Linked DNA regions of Drosophila melanogaster. The gene in region 1 interacts genetically with each later gene. Each region holds a gene or a part of one and is shown in the gene's direction. Other genes may lie near its edges.

Evidence for each region. Genes that interact genetically often act in the same process or in processes that back each other up.
Region 2: of Snoo (region 1) and Med, changing one suppresses a phenotype caused by changing the other (phenotypic suppression), as found in Drosophila melanogaster (2 studies listed by BioGRID).
Region 3: of Snoo (region 1) and babo, changing one suppresses a phenotype caused by changing the other (phenotypic suppression), as found in Drosophila melanogaster (2 studies listed by BioGRID).

What each region holds. Positions count from the first base shown.
Region 1 is NT_033779.5:7,980,277-7,986,741, reverse strand, and holds the start of Snoo (Sno oncogene), read left to right. Parts: upstream 1-2,545; 5' UTR 2,546-2,611; exon of another isoform or gene 2,612-2,796; intron 2,797-6,465. Other genes in the region: CG7231 (uncharacterized protein), read right to left, coding at 37-603, 658-908, 974-1,189, 1,932-1,974.
Region 2 is NT_033777.3:31,608,379-31,616,657, forward strand, and holds Med (medea), read left to right. Parts: upstream 1-2,667; 5' UTR 2,668-3,302; coding exon 3,303-3,366; intron 3,367-3,600; coding exon 3,601-3,869; intron 3,870-3,932; exon of another isoform or gene 3,933-3,955; coding exon 3,956-4,310; intron 4,311-4,508; coding exon 4,509-4,730; intron 4,731-4,881; coding exon 4,882-5,496; intron 5,497-5,556; coding exon 5,557-5,839; intron 5,840-5,900; coding exon 5,901-6,069; intron 6,070-6,125; coding exon 6,126-6,252; intron 6,253-6,311; coding exon 6,312-6,523; 3' UTR 6,524-6,997; downstream 6,998-8,279. Other genes in the region: Mnat9 (microtubule-associated Nat9), read right to left, coding at 7,023-7,625; CG1792 (uncharacterized protein), read left to right, coding at 8,024-8,143, 8,197-8,279.
Region 3 is NT_033778.4:8,949,789-8,956,120, forward strand, and holds the start of babo (baboon), read left to right. Parts: upstream 1-2,550; 5' UTR 2,551-3,183; coding exon 3,184-3,241; intron 3,242-3,314; coding exon 3,315-3,629; intron 3,630-4,945; coding exon 4,946-5,063; intron 5,064-5,170; coding exon 5,171-5,379; intron 5,380-5,924; coding exon of another isoform or gene 5,925-6,070; intron 6,071-6,332. Other genes in the region: CG33199 (uncharacterized protein), read right to left, coding at 918-968; CG8229 (uncharacterized protein), read right to left, coding at 1-799; Tom7 (translocase of outer membrane 7), read left to right, coding at 2,005-2,104, 2,214-2,278.

The sequences.
Region 1 (6,465 bases):
TTGCTCTGATTACCGTACTTATATTAATTACGTATATTATAACCGCTGCATCCAGCTGGACAGAGCCCAAAAACAAAGGCTCATGAAACTGAAGCCAAACAGGGATTTGAAGGTGCTGGCTCCGTTGCCGGGATTGTCCAGGTTCAATTGTGAGGCCAGCTCCTCCGGCACATCCAGATAGACTCTATCCAAGCCGAAGCTGAAGATCAGTTTGCGCAACTTATCCACATCCACATAGTCACCGGCAGACGACCAGATGGTCAGGGTGCTCTCGTTTGTCTCGTTCACCGCGGCCACCAGTCGATGCAGTTGCTCCTCGCTGTTGGCGGCAATGCCAGCGCGCACGGGAAAGGTTATGGCCTGGCCAGTGGATAGGACATTGTTCTCGCTCAGCGTTTCCAGCATGTCATCACACTGCTGCTGCGTGTACTCGCCATCCCGGAAGTCGGCTCCCCAGTTAGTTGTCCAGCCAATGGAGAGCACTGCCTGTTTGTAGCGCATACAGCCGGCGAAGAATCGGTCCGCATCAACGGGTACGGTTCTATTCTGTTCCACGGGACCACTTAGAATATCGGCGTTTATCCACACAGGATACGTGGTAGGCTGCACAACACAGAGATATTGTTTAATTTGTTCTGATATCTGAGATTCGATGACCAAACTTACGTTCGGAATATTCACGTCCAGAATGTCCAGGGAACCCTCGAATACCTCGATCGACTTGAAGTCGAGCTTAACGCCCTTTTTTTGGTCCTCATGATCACGGTTGAAATTAATGATCTGGTTGAGAAATTCCGACAGCGTAAGATCAGAGACATTGGCCGGCGGATGGGCCATTATGGGCATGTCCTCGCCATCGCCATTCAGTTTGCCCAGCACAATGTCCGCTTCGATGAAGTCAATGCCACCTTGGGCAGGGAAATGATACTATTGATAAGTTGGTTACACGCGCATATTTGGCCAATGATCTTACTGGTTTCGGTTAGGACCTCGTCCAGCAATTGCTGGCTGTTGACGGCATGGGCCCAGGTAATGGCAGTGAGATTTGTGCCCCATACCTTCATCATATCCGACTGTTTGAGGAATATATATTCGATCTGGGAATCGTCTGGCGCTGTCTGCTCGACCACCACTTGGTACTGATAATTGCTGGCGTTCAGAGCAGACCCATTGATTTTGGCCACGAGCACTGCGAGTGGACGTGAAATAGACGGCATTAATATTCCACAATTGGACAATGGGACGCACAGAGGGCATAATATGGCAGATACGCGTAGATAAGCCCATTTGCCTTCCTTACCACCCTACCAGCGAGAATTGATACGCAAACACATGCAATCCAATCCAATGTGAATTTGTTTACTTCGCAATGAGCGTGTACATATGTATGTGTGCGCGAATGGACTCTAATTAACTCCCTTTGTTATGCGATTTTTATGGAATGCAAAGCGCGTTGTGCCCTTCTTCCGCTTTCACCGAATGCTGCAATGCAACTGCACATCAATAATTCTCTTCAATCTGTCAGCTGTGCAATGGCGCAAGCGTAGAGAGCAGACGTGAAGTGAGAATGGCGAGAAATGTGCTTAACTTCAAGAGACCGACGCTCATATACCCTAGCTCTAAGAGTTTACATGACAACTTATTGACAAAAAATAACAAAATGTTGCTATTTTACGTTTTACCCCCTTTTTGCGATTGTGTAAATGTATTATCAAGTAATGTTACCCAACACACTCGTCAGATTTAAATGTTTTAATTGAGTACAGGAGCATCGACTATCAGATACCTGTTAGTTTTTTTAAGTTATGTCAAAACTAAACTGTCTGGATCCTAATGTTTCCAAGCGACCCAGGGGTCGTATGTACATGAGTTAAAAACATTAAAAAATGATGATATGTAATGATTTTGAAAAGTGCAAAAATACGAATTACCAAATAGTAGCGTTGTAAGTAGAAAGGTAATTTTTGAGTCCATTTTTTCTATAGGTCTAAGGGCACTTGATCATGAACTTGGGACCGCCACGGTTAGAAACGAACTAAATGGCAATTTTTCAGTTTGGCTTATCGATAGCATTTGCTGATTTAATTAAACATTGATTAAGTATTGTAAATTGGTAGTGACAATCTATCCGCATATCCCAAAATCTAATCTTTTAAGTGGTCACGTTATCCGATGAACTCGCGGACTAGTTAAACTAGTTACTACATTATAAAGAAGAAAGAACAAACAAACGTTTTTATGGAAATTATTACCACACATCTTGTAAAATCATATATTTCATTAAGTACGATTTACATTTATTTGCTTATTAAAAGATAAAATGTTATTTAAATAAGTTTAGACCGCGGTCTCTGTTAGAAAAGCGTTGCATTTTAACATTTCTGTTAAATGAGCAGCAGTAATAGAAGAGAAAACGTAAGAGAGCGGTTCAAAGAGCGGCACTAGAGTGACCATGCGGCGGTACACAAGAAATGCGGCCAATAAGCGAGAGCACAAACTTTACCGAAACGAGCGCTAGAAGAACTGGCCACACTACACCCCCGACACTCAGTTTTAGTTCGAAAATTTAACGGCTCTGGAACCGTTCGGACGTGTCGCTCTCGGTGCGCGTGTGTGTGAGTGGCGAATATAAATATCGGGGGAAAAGCTCGCACGTGCGACGCTTGCGAAAAAAAAAATTGAAAATATATAGTAAAATTGTTGTTTTATTTATGAGTCGAACTAATGTCCCGTCAGTTGACTAAGGACAACGCCAAGAAATAAAAAATAGTTTTAGGAGAAATAGTTTCACGACTTTATTCTTTGGATCTCAGCTTAAGACTAAAAATCAAATGCAAATTGGATTGAGGAGAAGCCTCAGTATTTGAACAATATTTGTATTTCGGGAGAGCCTCGCTCTTGGGTTCTTAAGATTAGGTAGCGTTGAAAGAGGGCAGTCAAATCTGCTTAGGTCAGGCTTTAGGATGTTTACAAGAACGGCTGCGCTGCCAAAGATAAACGAATGCTGCGCAGCTGGGATACGTTATGGAAAATTACTAGAGTGCATTACTGATTTCTTTGAAATAATGGAAGTGGCTGGTTTGGACCACCCAAATACGTCACTCCCCTTCCCTTAAAGAGAAGCCTATACTTGGGCTGGGATTGATGGATATAGTGTGGGAAATGGAGTTTCTTCTATTTCTGTTTGTTGTGGTGTGTTTTGATTTTGATTTTTTCTTATTTTAAGTTTTGCATACAGCATCATAAATGGTTTAAATGATACATATCTTAAATATGAGTACAACAAAATTAGTGCGATTATTACAATGATCATTTGTATGTAAAGTGTAATATTGTTCTCTGAAATCATCTCAACAATGTCGTTGTGTTTTACAATTTTTATTTTTGTTATATTAAGTGGTGTGTATAGTGATGTCAAATCTATTTCTGGTTCTAACAGATTTTCACTTAAAATTATATTATTGATTTCTATTTTGCATTGCGTTACTCTTATCATTTTGTTTCCTTCTATTTTTATTTTATTAATTGAATTTTGGCAATTTTGGTTAAGAATTGTTTGGGTTAAGTTCCAGGTTACAATTGTGTTTGGTTCTATGTATTTTATTATTTCGTTCGTGTGTACTGGCTTAAAATTACAAATTGGATTTAAGTGTTTAATAATATTGGTGACACATTCATTTTTTACTTCTTTATTTTCGGTATTATAAACTTTATTTTCTTTTTCAAAATATGATTGTGTGTCTGTGTAATCTAGCTGATAGCCGTTGGAGTCTGGGTAAGGAATTATTTTAATTGTGCTTATTAGTGAAAGGTAAATGGGTATGTGGGATATGATTAATACTTGGTTATCATTGTAGTTAATCCAAGTGGATGTTTTAATGTTCAAAATGTTTTGGCTGTTCACATTTTCAAGTTTGTCGTAGTTTAGTAATTTGGGGTTAAACAGTCCAAGTCTGGAAAGCTGCATAGCCATTTCCAAATCTTCTATGTATTCCGTCATTTATCAATCGTATGGCGTCGTTGAGTTCATGTAATTTTACTGAGTTATGGACGTTGATTTCAAGTTTTTTCTGTATTTCGACTCGATCATTTTCATCTAGTGTTCCAAATAGGTATTTAAAACCTGAACCCACAATGTTAATAAGACCCCGTTTGTTTCTATGTTTCAGGGTTATTCCGGCTAGTTCTCTTTTTATTTTATTGTATAAAAAATTGATCTGGGGTGCATGGTAATCGGTTCGTAGTCTTTGCTCAAAATAGTCAACCACGATGTCTATTTCAGTTAAATTGATTTTTAAGGAGTGATGTTCAAAGGAGGATGGTATCTGTACTGGCTTATCAGAAAAAAGGAGGTATCCGTGGTTGGTGTCAATATTATTAATTTGAATTTGTTGTCCATGAACAGCTGTGATCAGTATAAACAATAGTGTTATCGGGTACCAGGTGCCTGTGAAATTGAGAGTTTATTATTTTTCTTTTGTTTTTTGAATTGTGTTTTGTAGTAGTGCGTAACTCTATTTCTATTAGTGATTTTGTAATGGTCAGGGTCTGTCTGTTCTACATTTTTGGTTGGTTTAAATGGGTTTTCTAATTTGCCTTTCTGTAGTGGACCTTTTCTGTAATTAGTGTCAATATTAAATTCCTGTCTGTCTTCATTTATTTTGTCTATTTTCTTCTCTTTAATTTTTTGAGTGTCTAATATGGGATGCCCAGCGTATAAGAAAATTTGAGCAGGTGTCTGTCCAGTAGTGTCATGTTTAATTTTATGGTTGTATGTGTAGAGGATTGTTTCTATCTTGCTTAATTTTACTTCTTCATCATCAGATGAATTGATTATACGAATTTTTTCATTTATTGTTTTGTGTAATCTTTCGACGTCTGCTACCCCGTTTTTTGCTGTATTGAGCTGTAATTCGACTTCTTCTTCTTCAAGCCATCGCTTTAAAGCTAAACTGGAGAAAGCTCCGTCTCTGTCTGCCTTTAATAATTTGGGTTTACCTAGTTGATTAAAAATGCGCATTAATGCGTTTCTGCATTCTATCCAATCCTTAGTTTTAATTTGCTCAAGTGTAGCGAATTTAGAATAAATATCAATGCAACTGATGTAATGTTTTCCCTCAGATGAATAAATATCTACTACAAATTTTTCTCGGCAATGTTCCGGGTTGGGTGTGATTTTTAAAGGCATTTTGGTGTTTCTATGTTCTGTTTTGGCCAAATTGCATATGTTGCATTCGTTTATTATATTCTGAATTAATAGTTGGCTATTTGGAAAGAAGTGATTTTCTTTAAATAATTTTGTCATTTTCTGTATACCAGGGTGTAAAAGTTTTTCATGTGATTGAAGTATGATTTCTTTGAATTCGGCGTATGAACCAACGTTCTTTAATAGGAAAAGACTGCGAATTACTTTTGTGTAGGTGGTATTAACAATTTCTATGTGTGCTCTTTGAATAATTTCAAAATCTACATCGCTCTCAATATAAATGGTAATGTTTCTATGGATAAAGTGATCGAGTAAAATTTGTTTGGCCTTTTCAAGTGTCATTACATCATATTGAATTGTGGTAATGGAGTTACCGAATATTTTTGAATGCTCTACTTTATTTTTATCGGATTTAATAAAGATTATTTGTTTTTTGAAATAATTTATTGGTTTTTCTGTTAAATGAATAAGGTTGCTATTGTCCTCTTCTGCACTATGTTGAGTAGCTTCACTATGATGATTTTCTTCAATTTTAATTCTTGATAATGCATCGGCAACTGAATTTTCTTTCCCTTTAATATAATCTATTTTAAATTGGTATTCGCTTAATCTAACTCTCCATCTTTCTAACTTAGCATTCGGTTCCTTTAAGTTATGAAGCCATCTAAGAGGTTGATGGTCACTGGCAATGAGAAATTGTCGTCCTAGTAAATAATGTCGAAAAGTTTTTGTGGCCCAAACTATGGCAAGTAATTCTTTTTCGATAGCACTGTAATTTAATTCGTGATCGTTAAGTGTTCTACTAATAAAAGATATAGGATGACCGTTTTGAGAAAGGACAGCCCCGAGGGCCAAGTTACTTGCATCTGTGGTTAAAACAAATTTCTTTTCAAAATCAGGTAATTGTAAAATTGGGTCACGAATTATCAAAGCCTTAAGTTTTTCGAATGCCTCTATGTACTCAAGTTTTTGTGTATCTATCTTTGCTCCTTTTTTTAAGCAGCTGGTCATGGGTTTTGCTATGTCTGCGTAATTTGGAATAAATTTGCGATAATAACCTGTTAATCCAAGGAAAGCTCTTATCTCTTTTACTTTTGTCGGAATTGGGTATGAAACTATGGCTTTAACTTTAATAGGATTTGGTTTAATACCATCAGGGGTAACTATGTGACCAAGAAAGTTAGCTTCCTTTTTTAAGAACTCACATTTGTCTAGTTGCAATTTTAAATTTGCATCTGCAAGCTTTGTAAAAACTAATT
Region 2 (8,279 bases), on another chromosome or scaffold:
AATCAACAAATTAAGCAATTCTGCGCGACTTTGCGACTGCGCAACAAATTGAAATCAACAAATATGACCCAGAAAACAAAGTAAATGCGCTGAAGGTGAAATCAGGAGAAACGGGGTACAAAACGGAATGTAATAGCAGTTGTTACTTGTGTTTTCCAGAAACAAGTTGCTTCCTAAAATGAGCAAAAGTGTTTTTGAAACGAAAACAAGTAGTTTTATCCGTCGCACATATTTTATTTTTGGCTGACGCAATTCCAAGCCAGAGCACGCACACTCCCAAACCAATCAAGTTGCTGTGCTGGTGTGAGTGTGTGTATGAGGTAAAAATCCGAATGGGAACAACATACACACATACAAAGTCTTTGTTTGCAGCTCGCGTGTGTGTACGATGGCAAGGGAACTTTGGAAGCGGAACACACAAATTGTGGGGAGAACAACAAAGGAAAAGGGGAATATGAAGTAAAACAATTGACGCAAATTGGAAATAAAACAGATATGCAAATGGGGGAAGGCAATAGGAATGGGTTTTCTAGGCGAATAAGGCGGTGCCAAGGAAACAAAGGCGTACATTAGTCTCATTACATATGTATGTTGTACAGCTTGCATAAAAAGCACAGCCCCTCAAACACACATACCACTGCAAGCAGCATAGTTCCTCGCCCACCCCTCGTTCGACCCTCTCGCTCACTCTGTAAGCAACGACCTACGAATAGCGGACCCCAAATCCACTCTCTCGCTTACACACACAAACACCAGACAAACAGCTGTGAAACAAATGGAAGCGAAACAAACACGTAAATGAACGAATTTTGTATGTATGCCTAATATAATTTCTTTTTTCCTACAAACAAAATCATCTGATAGATGAAGAAAAAAACCTTGATTCTCTTTTTGCATTTTATCGACTTTTCCACTCTTAAATAAATTTAGCATTTTCTTACGTTTTTACAGCCATTTTGTTGTTTTGTGTTGCGCAGGAATGTTGAGATGAACTTTGTTTAGTTGTGAATTTTTGCTTCTATTGCACTCGAAAATAAGTGAATAAATTGGCTGGCAGCTTTACGCTTATTCAATTGCGTCAGATAGTTAGCTATAAAACCTTGTCGTTGGCCATTTAAGCTAGTTGTTAACTAATTTGTACTGCGTTTGTATCACAATTGGAACTCTGTTTATTAGGCTGGCATTTTATCCTCAATTTTTCCCGTCTGCGGATCGATTTTTCCCACACACACTGGGCTGAAGGTGCTTGGGACTTTTCTCCATCAGCTGTGCATTTTCCTCCTGCTGATTTTTTTTAGTTCTGCTTTAGCAAAGCTTTGTACGTTTGCACTTGGTCCTTTTCAATTTCTATTTTCTATTCCTAAGCAAACAAACACATTCAAACACTCGCGCTCGCAAAAACGGTACTTCTCCGCTTTGTTGTTTTTTTACGAATGAAGAATATTGTGAGCGACCAGTGTTACCAGTAGGCCTACAAGTTCCACAGATTTGGTGCGAACTGAAATTTGTACTATAAAATACCCTAAGCCAGCGGAAGCGATAGTCCCTCACTATCGATGTGTATGTTATTCGATTCTCTCTGTTAACTAACATTTCGCTGTAATGTTATCGAACCCTAATAAGCCCGCAATAATTCTTTTTTGATGTCGAACAATTTTGAACACCGAACTCAAATAAGCCCGCAATAATTCTTTTTGGTGTCGAACAATTTTCAACACCGTAAGCCTGATAGGGATTAAATAATAACTTTATGCTTCTGAATGCGGGATGTAGACAATTTTATGACAAGTGATTTAATTAGTTAGGGAATTAAAAAATATGAGGGCAACAAATCCTCGAAGTTAAATTGAGTTCCCAAATTACTATTACAAATGGAAGCTTCTGTTTTGGCAGGGAATCGCAAACTTCCCACACATAATTTCACAATCAATGTCATTGCCAAAATATAAACATATTTACATATGTACGCCGCAAATCGAAATTCCGTTCAGATAAGCGTTGAAATTACGCATTTTGATAAGATATTTTGAAGATGGAAACTACGCAGCAAACTGTTTTACAAAAGCCGGAGAAATGCATTTCCGGCGAAAAGGAAATTCGTTACTGTTGCCAAGTGAACATTTTCAAGAGAAGAGGGGAAGGGGGTGGTCTATTTCAGGCCCCACTACACACACATGCATATTTCTAGAAACAACCTGTCACACAAACGACTCATCAACGGCAATTTTTTATGAATGAATTTTAGCAATTAAAGCAATGGAAAGAAACTTTTCAATGGGAATGCGAAAACATCAATTAACTTGTTGCACAAGATGTTCAGCCTTCGATTTTCCCCAATCTCAACGATAAGAAACTTTCCTCAATTTCGTCACACACACACACACATGCGAATGGGAAAAAACGCGTGGCGATTGATTTTCGGCCTTTCAAAAAGTTCGTTTTACGCACTGAACAGCCCGCGAAATGAGTGTAAGTCGGTGTAACAAATCTCATGGCACTTACCCGGATGCCTCTGCGTTTTGATCAGTATCTGCTTTTCTTGCTTCTTATTTCCAAAAAATATAAACTTATTCTCAAATCAAATCTTCGAGAACTGACCAAACTAGGTGTTTGTAAAAATCCAAGGTAGGTATTTCGCGCTTTGCCCATCTGGCAACGCCCGCCCATGTTGTATCGCGAAACGGTCACTCTGCACAGCCGCAACAAAATAAAAAAGGAAAAAAAGGCAAATTGGCTGGAAAACTGGATTTCGTCGGGCGGAAAATTGTACTTTCGAGTTTCCCAAGCAGCCAATTAAGTGCAAACTATGAAATTCCACGAAAAACAGTAAAAGCCAGTCTCTACCAAGGATTTGAGCAGGAAACTTCTCGCTGGGCGTGTGTGTGTGCAGTGCGTGTGCCAGTGTGCGTAAAGAAGGAGGTGGAGAAGACGAAGGAGAGGAGAGTTTTCGCAGGGAAATTACGCCAACTTTGTGGGAGTTCAAGTCGAGTTAGTTCAGCGCGCGCGTGTGTGTGTGTATGCGTGTGTGCAACACCCCCCAAGCCCACTCACACAAAGCCATCCAGCCGCCGTTTGTTTTGTGCTCACATTCGCGTGCCGCCTTTGTTTGGCTTTTCTTTGGCCAGTGATTCTACGCCTTGTTTTTGCCCGCCGCCGGCTTCGATTACGCCTGCTCCAGCCACCGTACGATCCCCACTCCGCTCTCCGCCGCTCACGATCCCCATTCCGGATCCGGATCCAGCAACAACGCCGCCGTGGATGCCCATGCTCGCACTCTGGGCTCGCTCGCCCAGGACTTTGGCATGGGCGGCGGCTCGGGGGCGTGTCCGCCCGCCCACATGTACGGCGCCGTAGCCCCGCAGGACAGTAAGTGAAGTTCTCTAGAGGAGCAGCAGTCATAGTGAACTCCTTTTCGAGTTGTTATTCTAAAATCGATTTGTGGCCAAGTATTGTGGACAATCCTAAATCTTACCGTAGCATTATTATTTACTGTTGATAAACTTGAAACTCTTTGAAATTTAAAATGAAATTGGATTGAGCTGTACAGTATCCGTTGATCTACTAAAAAAACTCAGAGCTAATTACCCCCACCATCTGCAGTAATTGTCCGGGACATGGTGCAAATGCCGCCGCCGCCCTCGAACGCCCCCACATCGGCGGACGCCTGTCTGAGCATCGTCCACTCGCTGATGTGCCATCGGCAGGGCGGCGAAAGCGAGGGATTTGCCAAGCGAGCCATCGAGTCGCTGGTCAAAAAGCTCAAGGAGAAGCGCGACGAACTGGACTCCTTGATCACGGCCATCACCACGAACGGAGCCCATCCCAGCAAGTGCGTGACCATACAGCGCACCCTCGATGGTCGCTTGCAGGTAGGTTGAGTCTCTCAGACTTTCTGCATCGAATTTGATAATGTGTATAAGCAATGAACTTACCACTTTACCATTCTCTATCGAAGGTTGCTGGACGCAAGGGTTTTCCGCACGTCATATACGCCCGGATTTGGCGCTGGCCTGACCTGCACAAGAACGAGCTGAAGCACGTCAAGTACTGCGCCTTCGCCTTCGATCTCAAGTGCGACTCGGTGTGCGTGAATCCCTACCACTACGAGCGCGTCGTCTCTCCGGGCATCGATCTGTCCGGCCTGAGTCTGCAGTCGGGCCCCAGTCGCCTGGTGAAGGACGAATACTCAGCGGGTCCGCTGGTGGGCAGCATGGACATCGATGGCAACGACATCGGCACCATACAGCACCATCCCACGCAAATGGTGGGGCCCGGCGGCTACGGATATCCACAGGGTCCCTCTGAATATGGTAAGACTACAGTATTGACATTAATTCGATATAGTTTGAGTTTTCGATACTGGATTTCTTGATAATTTTTCTATATTATTTATAATTTTAAACTGAATTGTTCATTTTACTTAATTGTTTACATTCGTTTATTTCTTTGGTTTTAATAATTTATTTATATTTGTTTCCTTTTGGCGATTTTATGTTGACTTTGCGTAGTTGGCGATGCCAATCCCATGAGTGCAATGTTTCCCACCGGGCGCACAATACCAAAAATCGAGCCCCAGGATGGAGTTGCTGGGTCGCGTGGCTCTTGGATGGTACCGCCTCCCCCCCGGCTGGGTCAGCCCCCGCAGCAACAACAGCAGCAGCCGCAGCAGCAAACCCCGCAACCTACACAGCAGCAGCAGGCACAATCGCAGGCAGCTGCTCACTCACTCCGTAAGGATATGGCCTTGATTATAGTTGAAGCTTCGAAAATCGAATTTTAATTACAATTTTTCTCATATGTTGGATTTTAAACTATTATAATATTTGTCTTATTAACAATTAGTTGAATACACATTAATCTTTTCCCAAAATCAACTTTCAGCTGTGCCTCACGGTATGCCGGGCATGCCTGGTCCAATGAATCCCGGTCCCGTGATGGCACCCCCACCCCCGCCGCAGCAGGCTCAGAATCCCCAGGGCAATGGGGTGCACCATACCCAGGCCAATTCGCCCACAGATCCCGCCTCCGCACTGGCCATGCAACAACAGCAGCAGCAGCAGCAGCAGCAACAACAACAGCAGCAGCAGCAACAGCAGCAATCAGGCGGTGTGCCCAATGGATCAGTTAATGCCGGCGGTGGAGCAGCAGCTGGAGGGCAGTACTATGGACAGCCACCTCCTGTTAGTCAGATGCAAGGTGCCGGTGGGGGTGGCACCTCGGTGGCCCCGTCCGTCCACGCCCAGCAAAACGGCTACGTGTCGCAGCCAGGATCCGCGGGCAGTGCTCCCGTTGGAGGTGGTGGCGTCTTTGGCACAGCCCAACCCACACCACAGCAGCCGCAGCAGCCACCGACCGGTGTGCAGGCCAATACTGGGTCTGCTGGGGCTCAGGCTGGCGCCGGAGGCGGTGCGGCTGGCACCTGGACAGGGCCCAACACCCTCACCTACACGCAGTCTATGCAACCACCAGATCCGCGCTCTCTACCCGGGGGCTTCTGTAAGTCTAGGCTATGTAGCCCACTGTGCGACTTTGTAATCCCTGTCCTTCATTTTCCAGGGAATTCGTCGCTTTCGGGTGACCTCGGCTCCCCGCAACAGACGCCTCCGCAGCAGCAACAACAACAGCAGCAACCACGCCTCCTGTCTCGCCAACCGCCGCCGGAATACTGGTGCTCCATCGCATACTTCGAGTTGGACACGCAAGTGGGCGAGACCTTCAAGGTGCCGTCAGCGAAACCGAACGTAATCATCGACGGCTATGTGGATCCCTCTGGAGGCAATCGATTCTGTCTGGGCGCCTTGAGCAATGTTCATCGCACTGAACAATCGGAACGGGCCAGGTGAGTACATCCCCCTGGGAGTAACTTGCAGAGCAGGGATTAATTACCAAGTTCCATGCAGGCTCCACATCGGCAAGGGCGTGCAATTGGATCTGCGTGGGGAGGGCGACGTCTGGCTGCGCTGTCTTAGTGACAATTCAGTTTTCGTACAAAGCTATTATCTGGATCGCGAGGCAGGACGCACACCTGGCGATGCTGTGCACAAGATTTATCCGGCCGCGTGCATAAAGGTTGGTGCAATCAAGAGAGTTTAATGTGATAGCTTAACATACATTTTCTCATGCAGGTGTTTGACCTGCGCCAGTGCCACCAGCAGATGCACTCGCTGGCGACCAATGCGCAGGCAGCGGCCGCTGCTCAGGCGGCAGCCGTGGCCGGAGTGGCCAATCAGCAAATGGGCGGCGGCGGAAGGAGTAAGTAGATGGAATCAGTTTGATTTAGGGAAAACTAATGTGTTGATGCGGTATTCCAGGCATGACAGCAGCGGCTGGAATTGGCGTGGACGATCTGCGCCGGTTATGCATCCTGCGCCTGAGCTTCGTCAAGGGCTGGGGACCTGACTACCCACGCCAGTCCATCAAAGAAACGCCCTGCTGGATCGAGGTGCACCTGCATCGCGCCCTGCAGCTGCTGGACGAAGTGCTGCACGCCATGCCGATCGATGGCCCGCGTGCCGCCGCCTAATCCGTATTTATTATTGGCCCACATCTATGCTAAGGACTCAGTTTTAGCGGCAGCTATCCGTCAGCTATTTGCGGATTTTGTGTTTTTCATTTGCAATTCTGATTACGATTATGTTTGCCTTTGATTATTTGATAATAATTTTTATAAAAAATTGAAACAACTTAGAAGTCTTAAGTATGCAGCTGTAAAGCACTAAGCATCTAGTTTTATGTACTATACTTAAATATACGCCCACACAACACCGGAGATACTGAACAAGCGGCCAATGTTTGTTGTCCATTTCCTGCCACGAAAATTACAAATTAAAAAAAAAAAAAACGAGAAGCATACACAGCATTACAATCATCCAAGCCACAGGGCGAAACAAAAAGAGACATCGATGCACCCATAAATACATTCATTTGATGTAAAATGCAGCATAAATAAGGCAAGCGAAACAAGTAGATGTAACATAAGTGTAATAAACAGACCGTGAAATTACGATTCTAAAGGCTTCTTTTCACTGATAGCACTGCATACGCAGATCCACCTGCTGGTCCAGCCAGTTGATCCAATCTGGAGTGATAGGTCGCTCCAGGGTGACCTCGTGGAAGATCTCCACTCGACGCGTCTCCACGAACATAAAACTCTTAAACAAATGCAGCGATGCAGCGTTGTCCATGTCGATCTTGACCTCGAATTTATCCAATTTAAGCTGGGGCTGCGATTGGGCGTACTTGAGCATGAGGAGCATGGCTTCCCTGCCGAATCCCTTGCCCCGTGCATAAGGTTCGGCAATCATGATTTCCGCCTCCGCCGTTGGTATCTGGCTATCGGGATCTTGGTGCAGGAAGAGATTGGTGTCGCCCACCATGGCGGCAATCTCATCCTGATCACGCGAATAAGTCTCTGCATCCAGGACAATGAAGGTCAGCTTGTCGCTGTCCTCCCTCCAACTCCTTTGCATCTCGTGCTCCTCTTCTAAGGTCAGTTCCTCGGATGCGGTCAACTCCCTCAGGGTCTCGTTGCTCATCCACTCGTGGTACTTGGGCACGTGGCGCGCTTCGTAGGGCACAAGGATGACCCTGTGACCCAGTATTTTGGTGTTCTCGTTTAGATGCATCCTTAAATTTGGAAAAACTTAGGAATATTCTACAATCTGGAAATATTTGTTATTGTAAGCTTGTTTACATCAATCAGCTGCTCAAGCTATATAGTGGCCACCTGAATCTACACTGTAAGGAATTCTCTTTGCGTAAGCACTGCAAATAAGGTAATATTTTTGAAATGAACTCTTAAATCGAATGGAGAAAAGCGAGTAATCAAATAAAGTAATATCAAATAATCAATCGAATTAAAAATTAAGATCTGTTCAGGAATCCCCCTTACGATGTTGTGGCAGCGGTGCCACATCTTCTTAGCTATAACAGTCTGGCATTGCCAAAGGAGCAACAATATGAAAAGCAGAGCAATTTTCTGATTAATTTTTTCTTAAGTGTTACTAAATAAATAAGTTTAAAAATGCCGAATCGTAATTGCCGGACTTGCGGCCTGTTCATTTTCTGTTCGACGCCCAGTAACCTCTTCGAGGAGCCCAATTCCGTAATGCTGCACCAGATCGAGGTTCTTACTGGTTTGTTTGTGAGTACCTTTCTATTTTTGTGTTTTCAAACTTAAGTCTGGATTATCCGTAGTTGCTCGGCGGACCCGGGAACGAGCTGCCCCCCTTTATTTGCTCACCCTGCGAATTGGACCTGCAGACGGCGATTGCTTTCCG
Region 3 (6,332 bases), on another chromosome or scaffold:
ACTCCGGAACACTGATAATAATATTGACGGCAGGCGGCGTTGACGGTGGTGACTGACCTTGCGGCTGGGTGGTTGCTTTCTTGGGCGGACTGCTGAAGGGAGACCCCTTAGATTTGATGCTAGGAGACATCCTCACACTTGCCTTCACACAAGCGGGTAGTAATGGTATTTCAGCTTTGCCTTGCCAGCTTTGGGACGTAGCTCCCTTCAGATGAGCCACATGTTCCTTGGCTTTGGTGTCCTCAGTTTGTACTGCTTTTGCCTTGGGCGGACTTATTAATCTGTCGGGTAAGACGACAGTTGAAGGTACTCCCAGCTCTGATTTCAATGCTTGTGGGGGTTCCTTGCATACGGTACTGTTCTCCTCCAGAAAGCTTAAGTCGGGAAGCTCCAGTTGTGGGCAGGGTTTTTCCTCTGAAGGCGAGTGCAGATTTGGCATGGAACTGGAACTCACATTTGTCTTAAGGGGGGTTTCTGTGGCAGAAGTCAATTGCTGCAGCAGTTCCAATATAAATTCGTCATCATTTGGAGGAGGTTTGGACGTTAAGGCCGCAGGGTGAGAAGGTAGCGTAGCAGCAGGAGATTCAAAAAGTTCAGATTGTGGAGCAGTGATGGGAAGTGCTGCCTCCGAGTTCAGATCTTCATCAGAGGAGACCTCATCGTTGTGTGGCCACAAACAGCTCCTGGACTCGCACTTCAGCAGCTGCTCCTCGAGATTAATGTAAAAGTAGCGCAGCTTGTGATTCCTGCCTTCACTCTGGCACTCCAGACACTCGTCTCCCGGCTGCAGTCGCTGCATTCTCAACGACGATTGTGGTGGTCCTTGGTTTGCCCGGCCGAAAAACTCAGAGGTTTCCCCCAGAATGCGCATGCTGTTTCTGCCGTTTGGCTGCCTGGTTTAATGTGCGTGTGCTCACCTGACCGAAGGTTAAACGGAAAGCGTACAGGCCGAGATTGCTTGTTTTCATGGTCCGTTCCAGTTCCAAATCGAGCAAATCGGGACCTGCAACAGTAGTAGACACGGTATCCGGTTATTCGAGCTTACATAACATCAATTGATTTTTCCCCGACTGCGTGCGCTTTGCTCTTGTTCGCTCATTGCTGGCGTTCTTTATCACTTACGTTTCGTTTGGCAATGGGAACTTTAGTGCTCGGCGCTCTCTGATTAACCGCGATTGCAGGTGCAGCCGATTAAACCAGCAACGTTGCTAAAATTTGGCGAGCAAATGAAAACCAAGAAAACTAAACGATCTAGAACTCATGTGAGTAGCGGGCAAGTGCGAAAGGGACTCGAGATTAGAGATGGGACTTCGAGTGGCTGCGATAGTATCGATCTACGGAGCACTTGCCTGCTGCGAGAGATAGCAGGGGTATTTTTTATTTTTATGCTTCATATTGTTAAGAAATCAACGAAAACTTTGAGCGTTAAAAAGAAGTTTCCTTACTTCAAATTCTTGTTGCATTTCCAACGCTTTCAGAATTTGAAACTTTGGAAATGTAACATCTTTAAAGTTGATGGGAGTACACATGCAAAAATATTGCGGGATCATTAAAAATACGAAAAGGTATTTTTCAGACCAAGCACACTTTTTTCTTTTCATGATATGTGTCCAATAGACAACTTGTCGGTGAAATGGTAGTTAAAAACCTTTATAGTGGAAAATATAAATTAAAGAATATCAGATTAAAACCCAAAGGGCAAAACGGTGTGACCGTTTTAGAAGCGAATTTAAATTTTGCGCTCAAATGTCAATGTTGCCACACCAACAGAAATCTGTATTCGAAATAATTTTACTGATTCTTTAAATTGGTAAATTATTTCAGGCCCAGCAACCTGCGACAAAGCCATCCCAAGAAAATATAAATTGAACGAGTAACCTAACAAAAAGTTTCTGTCAGCTGTTTTATATCGAAAAAAGTGCTGTTTTCCAACACTTCGTTTGCAGTCAGACAAGTTATCATTTCATAATTCGCAAAAGGAGCTAAATTCAATATCCGTACGAAATGAAGCTATCCGAGGGAGTTAAGGATCGTTTGGGATTTGTGGTTGGAGTCGTCCAGACTGGATTCCACTGGGGATTCGTGCCTCTTGTGCTGTATTTGGGTAAGTTGTGGTTCATGTTTTTTGTAATCTACACGCGGCTGGGAAGAAGAAGCAGCGGGGTAATATCAAATGGACCGACATTGATTTTGACCAATTCTCATTTTCGCAGGATTTATGAAGGGAGCTGAGCCTGGCATGCCGCCTCTGAACCTTTTCAGTCTGTTATGGCAGTAAAAATAGTGGACATGATCATTTTGCTGTCGTATGCCCCGCATTTTGGTTCTGGTTGGGTTTCTGGGAACGGGTGCAGTACCTGCAGCTATTGCAAATAAATATCTGTTACAAAACAAATCGAAATTTTTTTATGTATCCTGGAAACAACCAATATTTTAACAAAAATCATTGTCCATAAAAACATAACCGATTGGGCATTTTTACGCACTTCTCTAGCGGGTGGGTGTTTTTCATGGGCAGTCCAGCCTGGGCACACTACTGCAGGTGCGGTCACACTGTTTGCAAATCCACACACACCAGCGCGGTTTTTCGCTGCACAAAATTGTACATTTAAGAAAAAATAGCAGCAATTAATATAAACAAACGGTTGCCCCAGACACCCGAAAGTGCCGGCTGTCCCGCGGAATATGAAATAGTGCCACTTCCCCCGCGCCACTGCCCCAATCACGTGATGAAAATCCGCCTGAAAAGTCGCCCTCGTCCGTGAAATGTAAAGCAGAGCAGAGCAGTTTTTCCAACCAACTTGTGCGGAGTGTGGAGTTCGAGTTTCGCATTGCGGGCCCCCATCGAGATTCGCTAATTGTGAGAATCGCCAGTCTATATTCCCGGCCATGCCCCCGCCAAATGTGGGAATTCGCGGGCGCCTGTCCTACGCGATAAATGCGCAGTTCGGGGCCAATTAGTGGCTGTCTGAGGTGTCCTCCTGCCGCTCCTCCTGCTCCTGCGGCCCCGCCTCGTCCTGCCGCGAAACAACAATCTCATTTGCAGGCCACAGACTTTGAACTTGCGACGCGCGTGTGCGTGCGTGCGATCGTGGAAAACAAAAGAAAAGCTCTCGGGCTGCACAAACAATAACAATAGCTCGGGTCGGGTCGCACACACTATCGTCGGTGCGAATAGCCAACATGTTATCTGCGCTCCGGCTAATCTTCCTGGGCGCTCTGCTCGGCGCCTCTGTTTGCGGTGAGTGTACCCCCCAGCGGTTCCATTAATCTGGATCAGGTGCGAAACTAACCTAAAATCTCCCCCGGTGCAGCCTCCCCCATTGAGTTCGTAATGGACACCAGCCTAAATGGCTCTCGATCTGATCCTGCGACTGCAACCCACCCTGGCAAATGGCCACCGACGACCAAAGCGCCGGCGCTCAGGGCTCCAGCTGGAACAGCTGGACATGCTTATCAGTCGCCATCGTCGTCGCTGGCCGCTGATAACAGAAGCCACGACAACAACAACGCTAGCGCCGTGTCCATGCTGCTGCCGCAAGACGGCGACGCATCTGGAGCTGTGGCCCCTGCTGTTACTCCCCAGCTGCCCATCTACATTGCTCAGCCTAGCGCGAAAAAGCCAGAAAGTAAGTTCCGATTGCCTAACGAGAGTGTAGAGCACACTGCGGACAATGCACCCCGAATTATCTAAACAACAAGAATGTGATAGATTTACAGACTTGTTCCGGTATTGCCTTGCAAACATTTTACTTGACTTCAGTTAACCAGGAAAGTCAGCACAGAGTAAAGGTCATTTTACTTCCCTTTTTTAAGGTGAAATCCATTATTGGGAGAAGATAGAAACCGCTTAGTGGTTATACCTTACTTGTCCGATATATTGACATTTTTGTTGTTGTTGTTTAATAATTAAAATATCTTACCAAGGGTTACTTAATACTTGGCGATCTTTTCGATGCCATAGGGATCTTTTCTCCGTGTGTATATCGCGTGACTGTAACACCTCAAAGACTCTGAACGCTTCTAAAAGGCCGTCTTCGTCTGCGCCTGAGGCTCCGATTCCGTTCCCATATAGTGACGTCACCTCTCCGTGGTGTCAATGAGCTGAGCCAGACAGCTCTCATGGCCCACTCCAACGCTGCCTGGCTGCAGACACCCCCACGTCTGGATGCATTTGCTTGCTGCACTTGGGCACTTGCAACTGCAGTCGGTGCAAAAAAAAGCAGGCCTAAGCACTGGCACTGGCTTCTCGCTGTCCGGGGGAAGGGGAAACTGGTCGCATTGTCTGGCCCTCCACTTTGCACTTGTCTTCTCCGCGTCTGCTTTGTTAATGCTAAATGGTTTTGTTTTTGTTTCATCACGCTCTCGGCGGTGTCGGTGGCGGTAGATGTGGATATGGTAGTGGCTATGGATGTCTATGTGACTGTCTGGGCGAGCGTGTGCCCGGCCAGGTGCCCCGGGGGCATGGTTATGGCAAATCCCAATTTGTGGTCAGGAGATGCCAATCAGCGAGTGGTTGATTTATGGGTCTCTTATTTCTCTAATTAGTTAATTTCTGCCAGCGCCTAATTGATTGATTTGCTTCAATCGGAGTCGGGGCATTTTCTTAATTCGAGAAGTTTGCTACTGCTAACCTATGCTTTTGCGTTTTATTTGTTTAAATAATAAGAAAATCATTAACCGTGGCAAATGAGGCGCGGACCTCTTCCTTTGCTTACCTTTCCACAAGTAATTAATATTCATTAAATATTACAAGAAACACGTGCTTGGTTAGGATCACCTACAAATAGTGAAGATATATCGTTAAGCGAAGAATAAGTTTTTGTTGGTGAGTCGGTTTAAAGTTAACAAATTTTTGGTAGGAATGTATGGATTTGATAGTACTCTAAAGTTTGGTTTTTTGCAAATAGATCTTTATATTAATTTTACCTTTTATGTTCTGCAGACAAGATAAAATGCCACTGTGACACGTGCAAGGAATCGAACAATATATGTGAAACGGACGGCTTTTGTTTCACGTCCGTGGAGAAGAACTCTGATGGGAGCATCATCTTCAGCTACAGGTGAGTGCCGAGAGCCTGAGGAGCAGGCCTTTGATTAGGTTAGCACTTGCCCCTCAGAGCAGCCAGTGTGAATATGTCTGATACGATCGATCTATCGAGCGATGCAGATGTCTGCACAAGTCTCAAATCTTTCCGCCGGGCCGCTCCATCTGGTGTAACGACGGGCTGCACGGCGGACCAACCGCCCGCCCAGTGGGTCGCAATGGCGCCCACGCCTGCTGCAAGGACAGGGACTTCTGCAACCGATTTCTGTGGCCAAAGACGAAGGACCAGAGGAGTGATCGTGTCGAAGAAGGGCGGCAAATCTCCGTCCAAGGTGCGTGCGCTTATGCACGTGTTTCGCTCCCAAAAACCCCTCCTCTCTGACTGCTCCCATTTCTCTGTTCACTCGCACGCCGTTCAACAACCAGTTGCCCAGTTTTGATCGTTCTTTGGACTGTTTCCCCCACTTATGCTCGTTGAGTTGAAGTTTTGAAATGATCATAACCCCAAATGCAGAGCACTACTAATGATGACCTGCTGAAAACCAGAGCGGCGTTACACACACTGTAATCAATATAATTATAATACTCTTCTTGCTACTAACCAGACTGCCACTTCAATTAGCAACAAGCCGAAGGCGGCAACAACTACAGCTGAATCAGAATCAAAATCAGAATCAGATGCAGCAGTAGCAGCATCAGCAGCAACCAACAACCAATGCCAAGCAATACTAATTTCGTATAATTGTTATTTTATTTTCTCTATCTCCCGATATTTCCTTCGCTCCCTTCGGCTCCTCCACTCGAATGAATATATCGAACTTATCGCATTATCCCCGCTCGTTCACATATTTGTGGACTGTGCTGTACGGTGACCCAGTTGCATGGTTGTCAAGTACAATATGCAACGGAGTAAGCCCTTCGAATGCCTCACCAGTAACGAAAGGTTCGATACGTATAGGATTGATTGCTGTAAGAGTGATTTCTGCAATAAGAATGAGATTATGAAGAGGATATTTGAAACAGGTACAGCCGCATTCAAGTAACAAAAACCACACAACCAACAACAATACAATTTCTATCTTTAGTTTGCACTCCTTCTCTAATTCACTGCGCCTAATTAGCACTGCATCAATATGATTAATAGATTAATTATAACAATTCAATAATCTGTAACAATAATTTTTGGTTTAGTTCAGTCTGTTTCCCCTCAGGTGTGCACACCGCCTCAGTTTTCCCCTTAGCTTATTACATATTTACTTTGACTACTTGCACTTTTTCGCTTCTC